2 linked regions of the Oryzias latipes genome follow. The protein of the gene in region 2 interacts with the protein of the main gene of each other region in a biochemical or structural test. Links are inferred from orthologs where the notes say so. Each region holds a gene or a part of one and is shown on either strand. Other genes may lie near its edges.

Region 1 (3,522 bases), on a different chromosome or scaffold from region 2:
TAAAAACAATAAGATTTGTTTAACTCAAAGTAAATGGGAAATGGTTCCATGTCTGCACATTTCATTAAATGTATTTCTCTTCTGGTTTTTCAAACATAATCTATAAAAAAGCAGAAACTTTCATCTTTTACTCGCTTGAATAAGCGGAAATTTTATTTTTTTATTTGCAGACTACTTTTAAGCGGTTTTAATGTTATAGAAATTGGATACAAAGCAGGAATAGTTTGAGTGAAGAGAACTTTTGATTTGAAAATACCTATGAATTTGATTATAACCATTTTAACCAAAATCAAGAAACCTGTCATTTTCTAGATAGCATATATACACATAACCTCTGCAGAGTGGCAGTAGTTCCTGATTCACAATGATTTGAATAACAAATACTCAAAAATGCAATTTTTTTAGCTTGATTTTCTTTTAAATGTCCTTCATCAACCCAAAAAGAACGTGTTAAATACACCTAAACCTTTTTTATTTATTAGGACGGATATTAAATACTTTGTTTTTAATACGTTTTTGTGAATGTGTCTTAGTTTTAGAAGACAGACTGGTGGATTTGTGGTAGAAACCATTTTGAGCTTCCGTCTCCTCCACAGCACTGGCGTCCAGCGGCACCATCCCCATCACCTCTCTGGACGGCGGGAACCTGTTGTTCGCCAACACGTCGTCCGCCAGCACGCCCGGCCTGGTGACCACGCCGCTATTTCTGAGCCCCCAGAACCTGTCGCTGCTCACCAGCAACCCCGTCAGCTTGGTGTCAGCCGGCGCCGGGGGGCTCCAGGTCACCGCGGACGCCAACCATCAGGCCACCTCGGTCGCTGTGCCCATGCAAACCTCCACCATCACCACTGCCTCCAAGGCCCAGTGAAGGCCGTGAGGCTGCGTCTGGATCTAACCCCGTTTCCGAGCACTATTCCTGTGGCGCCTCTTAGGGAGGGGGTTACTCCTTGGATTCTGGCCTGGCTGAACAGCCTTCTCATTGTATCTACCATTTTTCTTTTATCTATTTGCTGCCACCAAAAAGAAAAATGACCTCCAATCAGATTGGGACTCTTTTTTTTTCTTTCTTCTTTTTAATATATTTTGAATTCTCCTTAAAGAAACTTCTAACCAAAAACACATTTCACTTTTACAAACTTCGACACGTTTACTAATTCTATTCATCACTAACAGTTTTTGTTTGACTTTTGGGCCTTGATTTAAATCATGTGGATTTTTAGACTCTCTTCTTTATCCTCACTTTATATATTGTCGTGTTTTCAGAACTTTGTAAGTCTGATATTAAGTTAAGATTTAACTATCACTTTTGAATTGTGGTTAAAAGGCTTTAAAAACAAGTAATAAGTGGCCGATCTAAAGGTTATCATTGCTTTACGGGCTCGGAGAGTCGGCGCGCGTCTCTTCGAGCCTTTCTTCTGGAAACACTGACTTTTTACATTTTGCTGCAGCTGCGACGGCGCCGCTCGGTGGCGGCCTCGTAGACACTGACAGAAAATGACTGAAAAGGTGGCGAGGAAAGCTTTAGCGTGAGCTGCAGAGTTGCAGCGAGGGGGAGGTGTGTGAAATTTATAGGATTACTGTATATTCCGTTCAGTTGGGTGTTTCTGCGGTTTGCTTGGTGGGGGGTTGTTGTATTGTGGTTTTAATGTTTAAGTTCTTTTTAACAGTAGTACGATCTACTTGTGCACAGTATCTGTACCAAAAAAAAACAAAAAACTGGATAGATGAGCTGCAGTCTGCCTGTTTTTGGGAGGAATGAAATTCAGTCTTTTTATTCTGTCAGCTGACTGGCTTTCGTACTTTAAGATATACCAAAAATATTTGTTCAAATACTTGGTGTGTGTAGTTAGTGTAGCTTAGTTTAGTCGATATATTTATGAGTACAGAATCTCTTCAGAAATATAGAAATGCAATATTTTGATTACCATTTTCCAAAGATGACTTTTGTTTATAAAGTGTCTCACAGCTCAGTTTGTAATTGGCAGCACAACTAACCAAAAATGCAATGAATTGGTGGGTTTGGGTGCGAGAAAGTCGTTTTTATTGTTGATCTTTTTACAGTTTGGTCCTCCGTGTTTAATCCGGTTTTCTCTAAACGGTTTAGAGGCTCCTTTCACTATTTATTGTAGCAGTTTTAGACTTTTCTAAACAAAAGACAAAGTTTTTTTTCTTTGCTTTTTGTGCTAACTGTCAGCCATACGACAACAGCTTGAACCAAAGTGGTTTTTCTGAGTGGTTGCTGTGCCTGCCTGAGCGCACCAGCTGCTGTTCACACCATCTCTGCTCTCCCAAAACCGTCTTTTTCCTCCTGTCTCTTTCTCCCACCACAGTCGGCACCAGGTTCCCCCGATTTGGTGTCGCTGGATCCAAACCACAGAAACTGAGCTTTAAAGACTCGCTGCTGAAACTCCTGTTTGAGGGCGGCGAGGGGCCTGCATGCTTCCTGATAGCTTTACAGCTTCATCCTGTGTAAATCAGGGTTGTTGTTGGTTCTTTCTTTCTTTTTTTAACCCTTCTATTGTAGGGCTCACACTTGTAAATTCATCAAATTCTCCCCCCCCCTGAACGAGCCCCCACTTTGAACCTGTGATAGACGAAATGCTGCTCCCAGAATCCCTCTGTGGACGAGTTTTCGACCTGCCAAACATTATGTCCCTGTGCAGCAGGGGGAGTCAGTGCCGCCAAGTGCTACCCGTTGTGCTAAAGCCCACACAGACGTAGCATTGTTCTGCAGAGAAATGATTACTGTCGCTGGAAACAGTTTCCGCATCCTCCTCTTTTTTTTTTCTCTCTTGAATTACTGAATATACCTCAGCAGCACTTCAATATGAGGCTCACCTTTAGGCATTTGGGTGTATAGAACTTTCTAGAATGTATAAGAACTGTCCAGCTCCGCCGCTCAGACTTTATACATTTGAACCATGCATAGAAAGAAAACAGAAAAGGACAACCTACTACTGCTATTTTCTAGTACTACTATTTATGGGCTGTTTCCAGGTTTATGTTGTTTTGAAGTCCACTTTGCCGAAGTTGAAAGCTTTTGTGTCTGGTCCCGGACGAGCCCCCAGAACCGGGTCCGTGCTGTTTCTAGAGGCTAGCATGATGAAGCAGTTGGCACCATAGGATGTTACTGAGATATTTATGAGGAAAGACTTAAGAATTAGATAAACAATCTTTTCTTAACTCTATACATATAAATATATATATATATATAAATATATATATATATACACAAACACCTGTAAGATATTCATATTTTATATTTGATCCAGTATGTTATCAAGTCTGAATGTAGTGTTTATCATGCTAACTCGAAACAAATCTCCCCTTAATTTGTTTTTTAATTCAGCTTTTTATTTTCTTATTTTCTAATGAACTGATAAGACCAAAAAGAAAAAAAGGCGATGGGGCGTGTCCCGCCACAGCGCGCCCCCTGTGTCGATGGAATCTGATAGGTTGGAAAGTGTCAGATCTCGATCTACTTAATTTTCAGTTAAATAACTGTGTACTTGATTTGCTGTG
Region 2 (3,522 bases):
TATAACATTAAAAACTGTTTGATCTCATTTTTTTGTGATTTTTCCAATTAAAAAGCCAAAATTTACTACGGTATTTTCCGCACAATAAAATGCCCTTAAAAGTCTGAATTTTTTTCAATAATTGACAGTGTGCCGTATAATCCAGAGCGCCTTATATATGGATTATTTCTGGTTGTGCTGTTGCAAGCAAGGCTGGGTGTTATTGTGAATAAACTACCGTAGCTAACATGTAGCAGCGTCAAACTGTTTTTTTTACGTGTTACTAGGAAGGTGGGAGTTGACATTGTCACACTAATGTTAGTTTAGGGCTGTCAGTCTGTTTTTTTAGGTGTTGCAAGCAAGGTACTGTGAATACGCTAATGCGGCAAATGTCTCTAATTCAAAAATAGACTTTTTTGAATATAATTTATTATTACTCTTTTTTTGGAAATGAAGGATGGAGCTCAGTAGCTGACAGTTTGTATGGCATCACTGGTGGGTGTGTCTCTCAAACTGCTCCCCCTTCTATGACTGCATCTTAGTCCGTTTCTTTCTTGCCCTCCCGTTTGGAGTCTCAGGTCAATTGCTGCTCTTAATTCAGCACAATTCAATTTGCTCCAAACCAAAAGAGCAACAAGGAAAAAAAAGGGAAGACAGAAGTGGTGACTGGAGTGTGTGAGTTCATTAGTTTCTTCATTTGGATGGGCAAAAGAGAGACGGTAGTAGGTAATGAAGCCTAATCACTACCCTGAATCCTCATCTCTGCCACACTGAGTGAAAAGATAGCATAGGTCTTGTAAATGCTAGTTACCGGGCAGATCAAAGGGTTCCAGCTCTGCTCTCAAACACATCAAAGTTTTACTTTTGTACGATAAAGCAAACACCTCAGAAATCTTTTTCTTTTTTGTTTGCTTGTTTTATTTTGGACTTCTTTTTCCATTGTTTTGGCAATGACTGTAGGAGCTTGGCTCAGTTTTCTTTTGGAAATTTCGACGTTCTTGGCAGAACCGTTTGGGTTGGATTGGGAATGCCTGGCCATAATCAGAGATCCTTAATTGTTCAGTTCAATTCTGGGTCACTTCAGCATTTTCACACAACTCTCCAGAGGTTATGGCAGCGATTTTGTGGTTTTACTATATAAGATAAAATGTTAAGAACTGAATGCGTTGGTTTTGGGTCAACTCTTCAGACTCACCAGCCCGCATCATGATGCTTCCATTATCATGTTTGAGTAAAAAAAATAAAAGTAAAACCTTTTTCTTATTTAAGAAGCCAGCCAGGTATCTTAATGAAGAAAAAAAATTAGCTGATTTTTTTTATTAACTTAAAATTTTAAAAACAATTATAAACACAAAAATATGTATCATTTTCTATTTGATAATGACCAACATCAACTCCTAAAAAAACTTCAGCAGAGATTTCTCTACTGAAAGATCATGTCACATCAATTCTTTTTTCATGTGTTGCTCAACATTTGAAATTATTGTGTCTTAAAAAAAGGCATATGCATTTTTTGGTAAAGATTTTACAGAAAGTATATCAGTAACTTCCAAAACATTCCATCTTGAATCCGCTCAGACTGATGATGCTGAGGAGAGTACGTCTGTTTTTCAGCTAGCTATCCCAGAACGTCAAACGTCACCAGCGTGGTTCCTGAGTTCTCCTGACTTCACTCAACTTTGCATGGAGTTTTTTACATCTTCTGAGCAGGTCAGAGTTTCCTTGAGAGCTCCAATACGCATTGGTACACATATTTATTACACTGGACTCAGTCAATAGTTCCGACACTGCTCAAAACTTCAAGTAAAAGTGTAATATTTTGTTAAATAAAACATAAATGGCAGATGCTGTCATAAAGCAGAATATTAAAGTTTGTTAAAGCTCAAGCAGGATTTGTGTGTGATGACTTAGGAGCCAATGTAATCACAACTACAAGCCTTTAAAATATGGGGCCGGAAACGGTGTCAAAGTTTAGAAAGGTAGAAGTAAATCACCTGTCAAAGATGGCTCCGACTCCGGCGCTATGAGCGCTGTTGCGGTGGACGTGCAGCCCCGTCGCCAGCAGAATCCCGTCTTTCACTGCTATGGAACGGTGTGAGAATGATGCAATGAGGAGTTCATTCCAACCTGAGGAAGATGAGGGAACAGATTGCAGAAAAGTGAGAAATATGCAACAGTGCATGCTGCATTCAGATGAAGTGAAATGGACAACAAAAGTAGAATTCCAATGAAGCAATTAGAAGCACCATGAAACCCTGCAGTTTTCCCAAGCAAAAGCATCAGGTTATTACTAAGACATCTGAGTCGTGTGTTCTAAAGAGACAGGCGTGTTAAAGGGATGAACTGCGCCTGCCATCACAATAAAGACAACAGGCTTGATGTGCCAAAGCAGGGGGCCTGACATGGGGGGCGGCGAAGACACTAGACGCCGCTGCAGGAGTGACAGGGCTCCTTTAACTGTTCTGCCTGGTAACACTCGCCTCTTCTCCCCACAGTTGATTTGGCTTTGAGAGAAGCTGGGATGCTTTTATCCGTGATACAGCAGAACTAAAGTGGTTATTTATAGAAAACCTGAGAGCAAAGAAGAGACGAGCTCTGCAGAATAATGTCTTTCTACTCTGGTGAAGTCTCTCCATCATTGAATGTGAAAAGGAGGAGAAATGATGGGAGCATTTTTTTTTTTAAAGTGATGGCTCTGCTGCGCATATCTGTTTTTTTCCACATGATGGTGTAATTCGGAGTGACAGGCCTGGAACGTAGGCAATGTGTTGGGAGAACCCTGAAGAGCTTTCAGCATGTGGCAGCGGTGAATGTAGCAGAAGTGACAGATGATTCACTCCATGCTGCTTGGAGCTGCATCTGTGATCTTTAGCAGCTAGTTTGCTTTTCCACAAAAATCCGATTAATGCAGTAATTATGGGAGTGTGGCCTAAGTCGGGCAGCCTGACACCATTCTTTTCCAACTTTAAGGAGTTAGCTGGCGTAGTGCTGACCTGCATTGATTACAGAATACTTGGATATTTGAAAATTTGAGTACAAATATGATGAAATATTAGTAATATTATAAATATAGTAAAGTATGGTAAAATAAACTTTTGTCAATGTAATATCGCTTTAATATGGAGAATATGTTTGGAATTTAAGTGAAAAAATTAAATAAACCACTTGTGCCACTGTCACTGGAAGTTTATAAATCTTCAAAGTAAAGTGTCAGTGTTTTCTAGTTTTTAAAGAGTCATTTTTTTAAGGTGTTGTGGCAATTCCCTATCTTCTCGTCATCTATCGACTGGAACGGTAGTCCAACAAAATTTTGAAGATGGAAAAATTGTGGAAAACATTTGAAGGATTTGTTGATAAATGACCCTAAACAACATTAATGTTTATGTTTTTTTTACTGCAGAAGTTAACCAGGAAGTTGACAGAAACACTTTTGACTGTGACTGGCTTTGAAGTAACACAATCTTTGTGTTTTTATCTGTTATGTTTTGTTGATTCTGATCTCCTGTTCTAATTAAAGGTATAAATGATGGTGATTAAATAAAT

The links. The genes of interacting proteins can lie anywhere in the genome.
Region 1: the proteins of rxra (region 2) and pou2f1 form a complex in vitro, tested with the Homo sapiens proteins (2 studies listed by BioGRID). The link is inferred for Oryzias latipes from reciprocal best matches to the Homo sapiens genes RXRA and POU2F1.

The regions. Positions count from the first base shown.
Region 1 is NC_019879.2:10,737,295-10,740,816, reverse strand, and holds part of pou2f1 (POU domain, class 2, transcription factor 1), read left to right. Parts: intron 1-596; coding exon 597-868; 3' UTR 869-3,522. UniProt on the Homo sapiens protein: Transcription factor that binds to the octamer motif (5'-ATTTGCAT-3') and activates the promoters of the genes for some small nuclear RNAs (snRNA) and of genes such as those for histone H2B and immunoglobulins.
Region 2 is NC_019870.2:23,010,170-23,013,691, reverse strand, and holds part of rxra (retinoic acid receptor RXR-alpha), read right to left. Parts: intron 2,107-3,522; coding exon 1,974-2,106; intron 1-1,973. UniProt on the Homo sapiens protein: Receptor for retinoic acid that acts as a transcription factor.